Linked DNA regions of Saccharomyces cerevisiae S288C. Changing the gene in region 1 together with any one later gene gives a genetic interaction. Each region holds a gene or a part of one and is shown on either strand. Other genes may lie near its edges. The genes, in order: YNL190W, MNT2, CYT2 and YGR050C.

Region 1 (2,919 bases):
TAAAGGGTAATAAACACACAAAGTCATTAAAGAAAAAAAAATAGAAGAAAAAAGCACACTTTTTGTATAGCGTAGAAATAAGGAAAAAGAGAAAGCAAGACATTCACACACACAATTATCAAGCTCCGCTCTATTTTCCTTCCACATTCGATTGCTATAAAAAAGGAAAGGAAACCATGATTAAAAGTTGGATGATCTTTCTCTATCCTTACAAGTCAACGAAACACACACATTCATTTAACTCGTTGAAATAGGAAATAACACTTCTTTAAATCGTAGGTCCCAATTTCCTTTCTCCATTTTTTGTATAAAAAAAAGAGAAAAAGAACACAATCACAATAAATTTCACTTTTGCACAAGCACACGTAAACACATAGTAGTCGAAATAGTATAATAAAAAGAATTTACTACTTCAGGATGAAGGGGGTAGGGGGGGTAAAAAACATAAAACCGGAGAAAATTAGGTCTTCCTTTATTTCTCAAATCCAATTCAAAGCTTATTATAATAGTAATAAGGCACCGGCTACGGCAGCACTACCAGCGGTAACACCAAACAATTTTATGGAGTTGAAATTAGATGGACCAGGGGCGGCATTGTTCTTACGGGCCTTTTCACCAGGACCATAAGTGGTAGTGTCATGTTTGGTTTTGTTGAACTTACCATACTTGTGAGTACCGGTATGGTTTGGGGTCTTAGACTTGGAGGTCTTGTTGAACTTACCGTACTTGTGAGTACCAGTGTGGTTTGGAGTCTTGGATTTGGAGGTCTTGTTGAACTTACCGTACTTGTGAGTACCGGTATGGTTTGGAGTCTTGGACTTGGAAGTCTTGTTGAACTTACCATACTTGTGAGTACCGGTATGGTTTGGGGTCTTAGACTTGGAGGTCTTGTTGAACTTACCGTACTTGTGAGTACCAGTGTGGTTTGGGGTCTTGGACTTGGAAGTCTTGTTGAACTTACCATACTTGTGAGTGGTATGAGTAGAGGTGGTAGTAGTTAAACTACCGTCCGATGACAAAGTTAAAGTGGTAGTGAAATCATGTTCACCCTTCTTAGCAGTGGCAACGGTGGCAACGGTGGCTAGAGTAATAGCAGTAACAGAAGAGAACTTCATATTTCAATTATAAAGCGCTGGGTATTTGGGAAAGAAGGTCGAAAAAATAAATGTTCTTCCAAAAGTGTGTGAGTTAGAAGTAAAAAAAAAAGTGTTTAATGTGCAGCTAAATGCTTAAGTTACTCCTTAAAGGAAAATTCTTTATTCAAAAAAGAAAAAAGAGAAAGAAACAAAGTAATAGAAGCTTGGTTTTCTTGTAGTCAGATTATCTTAAGCTCACTCGTTTAAGTTAAACCAGATAGACTGTTTCTAAATAACAAAACAAAATAAAACAGAAGTCTTTATTACATTCAAGAACAAACTACACTATATAAAGTAATCAGCGAAACGAAAATTACGCACAACACACACACCTAATAAAAGACGAGAGAAGTGAGCACTAATTGGTAAAAGAAACTTAACAACATATATATAGTAAAGATAACAAATACAGTACACAAACAAACGAATTGAGAAATTGTCTCGTTTCAGCAACAGCCACTGACGTACGGGAGCGCATTTTTTTTTTTTCACCGGCCAAAATCCCGGTCATCGTGGTAAGAAACACTCGAACAAGACGATACAAAAAATATCGCATCGCTGTTTTTCACGTATTTTTTTTCTTTAGTCCCCTTGTAGGACCCACCGGATATTTGTAAATTTCCGCTTCCGGAAGTGATTGCCCGGATATCAATTGGATGAATGGGTTCAAATGAACATTTATTACCCGGAAGGTTGTCATAGACACCAGGCGGGTACCTTCTCATTTCGAGGATTAGACGCCATATGGACTAACCAACCAAATACTTATGAAATTATGATGTTGGGGTTGTTGTTATGTGTCGATGCTTCTTATTTGTTTATATGTATATCTAGTAGTGACAATGGTACAATCCTCTAGAGCGTGTGCTCATGCTATATGTGCGACAGCGGTTGGAGGTCTCGTACGGCCCTCTCTTTCTAGTGGAGGAACGTTCTTTTCTACGGCTTTTGCTAGTGGTATAGAACCCATGAGCCCCTTGCTTTCTGCGAGGGTTGAACTTCTTAGGTATAACGGATCTTCTTGGTAGTACTCATCGATAATAGGGTGTAGTAATATTGTCTGTTTCTTAATGGTCAATATGCTGTTGGTGGGTACTGCAGTCCAATCACCTCTCTCGAAAGTCAAAGGTTCCGATGCAACCATAATTACATCTTGGTTTCTATCCAACCTTTCTACCCTGTATTCTCCTGGTGAAGTTTCTACAAAGCTGGAACCACAACTGAAATGCAAAGATGCTGCCTCGTCCGTCTTTGAAGTTATATACCTGGAAACGACAACGGTGGATCCGTCAGTTACAGCAAAATTTAAGAGAGATGGCTCCACATGTGCCTCGTCCTTGTTCGCTTCTTTAGTCCAATCTCTGATGTAGTCAATCGTTCGTAACATTGCCTTTCTTAGTGCAACATTACCGAAATCGCCGTCCTGCTTCTTTGGGTCGTAACCCAATTTGTCTAAAGTGTCTAAGAATAATGCAAATGCGCACTCGGAGTCTGTGCTCCCTTGAATAAAATTCAGGTATTCGTCTTTGATATGATTCAATAATTTTCTCTTGATTCCTTTGAAATTAGATATACCGCCATTATGCATAAAACATAAGCTGTGGTATGTAAACGGATGGCAATTGGTCTCAGATAGGACACCATATGTAGAGGCTCTTACGTGCGCAAAGACCAGATCAGATTTAGTTTTTTCTGCTAATGTACTCAAATTTTGGTTGTTCCATGCAGGAGTAATAGCTTTGAAAAGGCATGGACCGTCCTCGCTTAACTCGGTATCCAATGG
Region 2 (3,843 bases), on another chromosome or scaffold:
TACGATGCGTTATTTATTGTCGATTTATTACATATAATTCTTTATAATATAAAAGTGCAATACAGTGCATCTAGATATGGATTTTCAAAATTTTGCAGAATATGATCGGTTTGCCTACAAGATAAAAGTAAATTATTCACAATTTCCAACATTTAAAAGTGGCGATCGCATAGTAAAAGCGTTAAGAATGATGCTACATCCCACATGAGAGTGGTTCGATTATGCTGAATTTCAACACCAATTCAATATACTTTAATTTAAACAGACATTTATGATGCCAGAGACATAAAGGATCCGAAAGGTTTTAGGAACACCTTAGTGGAAAATCATTTTAGCGTGGCCGGGAGTACCAGATTTTTCATAGTTCCCTATTGCAATCAATTTGGATTTTTGCTGGCGTTGCATCATGGCTATGTTATCCAATGCATGCCAAGAGTGATTTACTTAAAGAGTAACTTCGTTACAAAACATTACGTTATACTTCAGTGCGATAATTTTTCAGATATCAAAAATTATACTACATTATACAACAAAAGCGTGTAGGTTTACCTATTGCTTATAAGACTAGAACAACTCTTGGTCAAATATCTTTATTCCATATGTCGACTATTTGTGAAAGCCGGAGCTTTTCGTCTTCTTTAAATTTGATCAACTTTCCAAACTCACCTTCCTTGAATAATGTGCAATAATTGAACAAAAAACACTCTCCTGAGTTAATCCATCCTGATATACTAGTATCTGGTATTATAATCCCTTCAAGTTTTACTGGTGATGCATAATATTCACGTAATTCATCTGCATTTTGGAACATATCATTTAGTCTCTGTCTATGCTCATAATCGTATTCCCATGAAGTTTTTTTACAAATATTAAGGCCCCCGTTTAGCCATAGCAAGGACCCGTCCCTGTCTGTATGAGATAGTTGCACAGAACAAATCTGGTAAAACTCACCGGTACTCTCTTTTGAAACTACATTGCCCAACTGACCAATGTTTGATGCATCCACAGGATGGAACGTAAAGCGATTGTTCGAAAGTAATTCGCCCAGCCAAAAAAAGTCCTTATCACCATGAAAATATTCTGCAATTGGAGAAAATTGTAAAGCTATTGAAGTAAGCATACTGAAGAGATGCTTTCCTTTATGCAATATTACCAGGCCGCTTTCCAAATGATGTTTATATTTCTTTATAAACATGTTTTCCAGAACCTGTGCAACCACTGGATCCTCTACTTGCTCATGTATCTTGGATTCATCCTCTAAATCAAGCCCAATACACCCATAGACAATTTCCCTTAGAATTTTTAATTCAGAGGATTCAAATAGATCATCTGATATTACCCGATCTTTAAAGAATAGAACTCCAGTCTTTTGAAATTCCTCTAATTCATAAAATTTTTCTATTGAAACAAAGGGCACTGTATCTGAGTCCATTAGAATAGGAATTTCAAAGGATGAGAAGGTCAATGCTAACCACTTGTTGGAATAGGTGGTAAATTTTTTCGAATATTTCGGGTTTAGCAGACTATGTACATTTAAAAACCATAATTCTTGAGCAGGATATTCAGCGGTGTCTAGACTTCTCGCATATTTGATAATAGATTTCATGGAATCTTGACTCAGATCTGCATTATGAACAATCTGTATAGGATAATCATTTTTGATGAACCTCAACACTTTCAATAAGCGTATGGTTTCATTCAACTGCACGTCAGAAGCACTAATAACTATGCCTTTCGAACCACTTTGAGTCACAGTGTGCAACCAATTCTCCCAAAAAGATAGCCCTGTATCGAAATTGATGGGCTTAGAACGAAGGAATTGATGGTTTTTGGGGTCAAATTCCAACATAGACGCATGGTAAACCTCGCCATTCCATCTCGTAGTTGTGTGCCAGAAGGCACTTTCATCAGTTTCTAATTTTTCAAAGTTAATATACGGAAAGAGCTTCTTTTCAATATCCCTCAAACGCTGAATATTATGCCCATCAACCTGCTGCAAGCAATTAAAAAAAATCTTAATCCTCGTAACCAGTTCAATCACATCTTTTGCAGGATTCGGGGTTATTTGATTTACGTCGTAGAAGTCATTCAACCACCCAGGCGTAAGACCTTCATAGTAACTCCAGCAGCCACCATTGCCACTGCTGCTACTTTGAACTGGTTCTACCAAATCTAACGAATTCAACTGAGAGTAATATACTACTAACACAATTCCCAGTAGTACAACTAATATAAACAGTCGATTTTTTCTTCTCATATTCGATAAATACTATTGGGGCTACTTTTGTCCTGTCACTGCGGATTTGCAAACACTCATGCGAATATTTTACTCAATTGAGAGATTTGCTGTCTCCCCCCACTTCGATGGTCCCCACCCCTAAAGTAAAGGAAAGAAGAATTAGCACTGTTTTAGTTCCAGGTACTTCTTTCTTTCTTTACCGGTATTGTGTGGCTCATCAAAACTTCGTCTCGGGAAAATGAAAAATGTAAACAAGAATTTCCGTTTCAAAGAGTTGCCTAAGGCCCACTAATAATGTACTTATTATTTACAATTCGGAGAACGCTGCTGATAGAAATCAATCAAGAAGTCCCTTAGTCTTTGTGTGTTTACGCCATATTGCTTAGTTTCGTAGTGCGTTACAGTTCTATCGTGTGAAAATTTTTTTCTAATGCATCAGCTGTTATGCGCACTACTTGAAAGGTTATCGAGCGTTTGTAAAAAGTAGAAGTACTTAAATGAACCTTCACGGTTAAGCAACCAGTATAATTGAGGCTGCTGATTTGAAATTGCGTTTTGTGTTCAGAAGGATCCCCGGAGGCCTTCAATGAGCTTCCATTTTATTTTCTCCAAGGAGGCCATTTTTTGTAGTGTGATGTTGACATGGTTATAACTGTTAGCAGTGTTTGTGATGATGGCTGTAGTATCACCGCAGTGGATTAGCTATGAAAAAAAAAAAAAAGAACTAGTTTTTAGTTCGCGCATCACGAGGTACGTGTTTAATATGTCAGATGCTTGGGATCACGTATGCCGTTAACTCTACAAAGCAATTGATATTTTGCTGCCTCAAATATCTCACACTACTAGGATATATTCTTTTATCAAACAGGAAAAAAGGGCAGCGTACCAACATGTATAAAAGGGTTATTAGCATTTCTGGTTTATTAAAGACTGGAGTCAAACGTTTTTCTTCTGTCTATTGCAAAACAACCATCAACAACAAGTTTACATTTGCAACAACTAATAGTCAAATAAGAAAAATGTCTTCCGTTACTGGGTTTTACATTCCACCAATCTCTTTCTTTGGTGAAGGTGCTTTAGAAGAAACCGCTGATTACATCAAAAACAAGGATTACAAAAAGGCTTTGATCGTTACTGATCCTGGTATTGCAGCTATTGGTCTCTCCGGTAGAGTCCAAAAGATGTTGGAAGAACGTGACTTAAACGTTGCTATCTATGACAAAACTCAACCAAACCCAAATATTGCCAATGTCACAGCTGGTTTGAAGGTTTTGAAGGAACAAAACTCTGAAATTGTTGTTTCCATTGGTGGTGGTTCTGCTCACGACAATGCTAAGGCCATTGCTTTATTGGCTACTAACGGTGGGGAAATCGGAGACTATGAAGGTGTCAATCAATCTAAGAAGGCTGCTTTACCACTATTTGCCATCAACACTACTGCTGGTACTGCTTCCGAAATGACCAGATTCACTATTATCTCTAATGAAGAAAAGAAAATCAAGATGGCTATCATTGACAACAACGTCACTCCAGCTGTTGCTGTCAACGATCCATCTACCATGTTTGGTTTGCCACCTGCTTTGACTGCTGCTACTGGTCTAGAT
Region 3 (3,007 bases), on another chromosome or scaffold:
ATTGCGCCTGCAATGAATACATTCATGTATATCAATCCTATGACAAAGAAACACCTGACGAGTTTAGTGCAAGACTATCCGTTCATCCAAGTTTTGAAACCGGTGGAAAAGGTATTAATATGCGGAGATATTGGTATGGGTGGTATGAGAGAATGGACAGATATTGTAGAGATCGTTAGGAGGAGAATCAATGAAATACGGAAAGCTAGGGACGAGGAAACTGGTGATAAAGAGCAAGAACAAGAAGAACAAGAGGGTGCTGACAATGAGGACGACGATGATGAGGATGACGAAGAGGATGAGGAGGACGAGGAGGAGGAAGAAGCTCTAAATGAAACAGCATCCGATGAGAGCAATGACGAGGAAGACGAAGAGGATGAGGAAGACGTGAAAACCGAAGTTTAAATGCATTAGAAAAGAGTATTTTGTGTTATGTTTTATGTTTTATTTTTTTTTTTTTTGTTTATTCCTTAAAAGAAGATTACTGCTTTTTCATTCCCTAGTTTCTAAATTGAGTGCCTAAATAAGATTAAATAAATATGTATGTGGAAACTAGGGAGGGTATGTTTTTATTTACAGGAATAGTTGTAGTAATTCAAAAGCCTAAAGATTTCCAGAACCGTAATCTAAAGCCCTCAAAACTGTTTAATTTTGGTCTAACATCGAGATAAATAAGTGGTTGTTGCTGCGAGTTTGCATCGTTCAGATCGGTGGAATAGAAATCGATTACGTAGTCGACGGTTTTACCGCATCTATCTATCTGCCAATCATGTCTATCAAAAGGTTTGGCCAGGTGCAAGATACGGGACCTGAACCAGGCCCTTGGTGTCAGTTTTTTGGAATCACCTTTAAAATTTGTTAATTTGATACCGCCACACGCTTCACCACCCTGCTTGTCTTCCCAGCTTTTAATGTAGTTCCAAACCCGCTCATTGATGGAGTTATGTAAAGGCACAACCACCTTCATGTCATCTGAGTTCGGATCCCAATTTTTTTTCATCATTGCCTCGTAAAATTGTTTCTCCGACGGGTATATCCAGTTTCTGTCAGAATTCGTCCTTGGTATGGTGGAAACCTCTCTGGACTGAGAGAGATCCACCGTGGTGTGATATTCAGGCGTTTTATCGTTATCTTGTGGGTTTGCAGAGCACTCTAGTTGATTGCCTGGGGCAGTAGCACCAGGATGCGCTTCGTTGCCATGTTCTCGTAGCCATAACTTTTTGGTTTCCTCATCTACGGGGCATTTCCCCTGTTGGTCTGAAGACATCATAATATGTAAAATAGAGACGAATGAAAAGCACGTGAACTAACAAACTATTTACTACTACCGAAATGTGATGCTTAAGCCTTTGGCCTCTGCAATACTAGCGATTGCTTTTTCCCTGATTAGTAAGCTACATCATTTATACTACATCTTTCTGTCTTAGAAGGCTTACAAACATCGAAAAGCTGGAACTTTGATTTCGAAAAAAATATGCCGTTACCCGTTGCGGGTCCCTTTTTTTTAGAAGGCCGGCCCAGAAGTCGCCATTATTTTTAGTCATTACAGTAGCCCTGTTGGGTAAGGATGCGATGCAATACATGTCAAGAGGTGTTGTATATAAACCACAATATCTACCATCAATGAGCTATATATACTTTTCTTACTGAAAAAAAAAACTACAAAACCAAGTAAAAAAAGAACAATATGTCACTACAAAGCAACAGTGTAAAACCAACAGAAATTCCTCTCTCAGAGATCAGACGCCCCCTAGCGCCTGTGTTGGATCCTCAAAAGATCGACGCAATGGTGGCCACAATGAAGGGCATTCCCACCGCTAGCAAGACATGCTCTCTAGAACAGGCTGAGGCGGCTGCCTCAGCCGGGGAACTGCCGCCCGTGGACGTGCTGGGCGTGCGAGTCAAGGGACAGACGCTATATTATGCCTTCGGCGGCTGCCACCGTCTACAGGCATACGACCGCCGGGCTCGCGAAACGCAGAACGCCGCCTTCCCCGTGCGCTGCAGGGTGCTACCGGCCACTCCCCGCCAAATCCGCATGTACCTGGGCAGCAGTCTCGACATCGAATAATGATTACGCTAATAACACTACATAAGAAACATAGATAAATTATAATTCACTAATACAAAATCCCTCAATTTAATTAATCAATTTCTTATTCAACAACTAGAGTAGGCACTAGCAGTTTGTGCGACCCTCGGCGCCGGAGAGGTACAAGGGACCTGGCGGTTGGGCCTTCCTGCCAGCTTCTCCCCCCCTTCTCGGCATTCACTCAGCGTTCATTGGCTCAATCACGCGCCAAGCGGATTCCCAGAAAAATACAAAAAAAAGTTGCCATAATACAATGGCGGATATTACAATATATATAGCTTGCGCTTTAAAAAGAAGTGTTAGCACGCATTGGGTGTTTGTACTGTATTCCTCCACTTAAGATAACGAATACACATATAGATATACAATATATTATACGTGGACATCTACGGAAAGGAAGAAAAAAAACAAAAGGAAAAGGAAGGATACCATATACAATGTTGTCAAGAGTAGCTAAACGTGCGTTTTCCTCTACAGTTGCCAACCCTTATAAAGTGACTGTTTTGGGTGCAGGCGGTGGTATTGGACAACCATTGTCTTTGCTTCTAAAGCTTAACCATAAAGTCACGGACTTAAGACTGTACGACCTAAAGGGCGCAAAAGGTGTTGCCACCGATTTGTCTCATATTCCAACAAACTCCGTGGTCAAGGGGTTTACTCCAGAAGAGCCAGACGGATTGAACAACGCTTTAAAGGACACAGACATGGTTTTAATTCCTGCTGGTGTGCCCAGAAAGCCTGGTATGACACGTGATGACTTGTTCGCCATCAACGCAAGCATCGTTCGCGATTTGGCAGCAGCAACCGCCGAATCCGCTCCCAATGCTGCCATTCTGGTCATTTCCAACCCAGTCAATTCTACCGTTCCAATTGTCGCCCAAGTCTTGAAAAACAAGGGTGTTTACAACCCAAAGA
Region 4 (2,573 bases), on another chromosome or scaffold:
CTGCACCAGGAGAAAGACCAAACTACCTTTTGTGCGGACTTGGTGTCGCCCCATTATCTGCAGCCTACCTATACTTAGTATCACTGTTCAATCACAAGCTAGCCCCAAAATGCACACGTGACCAAAATGATTTAGAAAAGCAAAAGGATGAAAAATTACCCCAACATCACCCGGAAGTCAAAGATGGGGAAGCTGCATGCCCATTCTCAAAGATGAACAACGCCAAAACATTAAAACCTGAATCCGAAAGAAGCGTAAAATGTCACTCATACATGTCATTGCACATGAGCATTGTAACCGGTATAACAATTTTTACCTTTGGTAAGTGTATCCTAGATGGATTCAAAGCATGAACGACGAAGCACGTGACACGTTCCCTTCAAACATCACAATTATTTAAGCGAGACTAATATATATGTTTAGCGAAAAAAAAGGCCAAAAAAACTAGTAAATATACAAAGCAGAGTATTTTTGGCTCTTGTCCACATTGGATAAGAGAATATTTATTTTTCACACAGAAAAAAAAGTTATATACGTATCTCTAAGAAAGTCAAAGACAAATTACGTAGAATGTGATTCATTCCCATTTCGCCCGTACACTCTCTGTCTCTGTCTCTGTCCCAAACTTCCCTTCCTATACGTATTCATAATCTGCTTAAACGTCAACAGTAGTTTCGGAACATCTTCATACGTAGGGAATACGACTTTTTTCTTTTCACCTGCAGCTTGAGCCAAACTAAAACTGGGATCCGGATAAACTATTAATAAAGGATCGCAAAGTCCATACGCCAGTTTAATGGGAATGAAATGATATTGCGAAGTGACGTCAAGAATCGACTTTAAGCTATATCCGAAGTCAAGAAAGCCGAACCTTACATGCGGTCGGAAAGCAAACGAGGAGATTAGATTGGTTTTCATATCCGCTAAATTTTCTTTTGATTTTACTTTGGCTTAATCTAATGCATGTATATCGGAAGAAGCAACCGATCTGGCCCAGTTGAGTCGTGCTACCTTAGTCATGCCCAGGAAAACCGGATTCCTTCTTTTCATTATGACATCCGTTTAGGTCAATAGGCTTTTTTTTCTCTCGCCCGTGCCTCTCCGTGTTCGATGAATGTGCAGCTTGCCTCCGAGCGGGCGAGCCACCTCGAGCGGGTGACGAAATAGTGGAAAAGAAACGGGGAAGCAAAACTGTGCTGTTCTGGCCCGCAGCGGACGAACGTCATTAAAGGCGCTCCATTTCTGTCGTGAGGGTCTTTCGGTGCGGTGGTGAGGCTGCGTAAACAAGCTTGCTCTTCATACCCCTCCCGTGGAGCTAGTTCGGAAGGACTATTGGCGCATCTTCTGTTGAGAGGTTCCGTAATTCTCCGTAACGTCCCGTTCACCACTTTGCATGTGCTCTCACGTACGGCCGTCTCTTTTCGGCCTTCGGCCCGTTCCGATTTTTGTACCCCTTACGTGCTTTGAATTCTAGAAGGCATCTCCTCTCCGATGGCTTGGTACAGGGAGCACTAGGGAAATTGCACATGGAAGTATCTGGAATACAAAGTTTTTGAAAAGAAAAGCCGAGCGTAATATTGGGACAATACCCAGTTCTCAGCCTTTTCAGCGCGGGTATGAGACAGCTTGCAACAGGTAAAAGGAAGTTAGAAGGGTTAGGTGAAGGGAACGATGATGCTGCCTGAGAACAAAAATGCAGCTTCATGTTACATACAATAAAGGAAGGATAATTAAGGGGACCATGCAATAAGGGACAACTTAATTTTGGAAAAATCGGAGCTTAGTTGCATCTACCTACTAATACTTTCCCCAAAGAATAATAATACGAGTACAATACATATATATATATATATATAATATACACATGTAAGTGATGACTATTCTTAATACAAAAAAATTTCCCTTTTATAATAACTATTCTTAGCATTAAATAACCCGTTACTGACAAAAAGCATATAACATAGGACTCAAGATCGACTCTCATACCCTCCGAATCAAATTCTCACTCGTATACGCAATCATTTAAATAAGCACATCATTATCAGCATATACCGAATAATAAAAAGCAAAAATGTATACAAAACTAAGATCTATACAATCAGGAACATTTAGCACAGTTTATAAAGCATGGAGTACTACACATAACCGCTACGTCGCTTTAAAGATTACTCCTAAATACAAAACTTCAGAAGCCAACATGAAGAACGAGTATGATGTAATGAAGATTTTGAGTTCTTGTAATCCTCACCCCAACATCTGTTCGATGCTCGACTTTTACACGGATGACTCGTACTACATCATGGTGCTAGAATACTGCGAATGTGGTGATCTTTATGACTTTCTAGATATTGCTAAGAGTCAAGGTAGCCCGTCGTCTCCATCTTTGATTCAAATTGATATGCAAAAGATAATCAAACAACTGTGCTCAGCAATCAGCTTTGCTCACAGCTTGGGTATTGCTCATCGTGATATCAAACCAGAAAATATTTTGCTAACGATAAATGGTGACATCAAGTTGGCAGACTGGGGTCACGCTATCCAATCCCCTAAATCTAACGACTTCCAGATTGGTA

The links.
Region 2: mutations in YNL190W (region 1) and MNT2 together harm fitness more than expected from each alone (negative genetic interaction), as found in Saccharomyces cerevisiae (one large-scale study listed by BioGRID).
Region 3: mutations in YNL190W (region 1) and CYT2 together harm fitness more than expected from each alone (negative genetic interaction), as found in Saccharomyces cerevisiae (one large-scale study listed by BioGRID).
Region 4: mutations in YNL190W (region 1) and YGR050C together harm fitness more than expected from each alone (negative genetic interaction), as found in Saccharomyces cerevisiae (one large-scale study listed by BioGRID).

The regions. Positions count from the first base shown.
Region 1 is NC_001146.8:280,591-283,509, reverse strand, and holds YNL190W (uncharacterized protein), read right to left. Parts: upstream 1,116-2,919; coding exon 501-1,115; downstream 1-500. Other genes in the region: glutamine amidotransferase subunit DUG3, read right to left, coding at 2,005-2,919. UniProt on the Saccharomyces cerevisiae protein: Hydrophilin which is essential to overcome the simple stress of the desiccation-rehydration process.
Region 2 is NC_001139.9:11,901-15,743, forward strand, and holds MNT2 (alpha-1,3-mannosyltransferase MNT2), read right to left. Parts: upstream 2,258-3,843; coding exon 581-2,257; downstream 1-580. Other genes in the region: alcohol dehydrogenase ADH4, read left to right, coding at 3,259-3,843. UniProt on the Saccharomyces cerevisiae protein: Mannosyltransferase involved in adding the 4th and 5th mannose residues of O-linked glycans.
Region 3 is NC_001143.9:276,594-279,600, forward strand, and holds CYT2 (cytochrome c1 heme lyase CYT2), read right to left. Parts: upstream 1,271-3,007; coding exon 596-1,270; downstream 1-595. Other genes in the region: phosphopantothenoylcysteine decarboxylase complex subunit CAB3, read left to right, coding at 1-405; SRX1 (sulfiredoxin), read left to right, coding at 1,688-2,071; malate dehydrogenase MDH1, read left to right, coding at 2,530-3,007.
Region 4 is NC_001139.9:591,525-594,097, forward strand, and holds YGR050C (uncharacterized protein), read right to left. Parts: upstream 919-2,573; coding exon 562-918; downstream 1-561. Other genes in the region: SCM4 (Scm4p), read left to right, coding at 1-353; protein kinase FMP48, read left to right, coding at 2,072-2,573.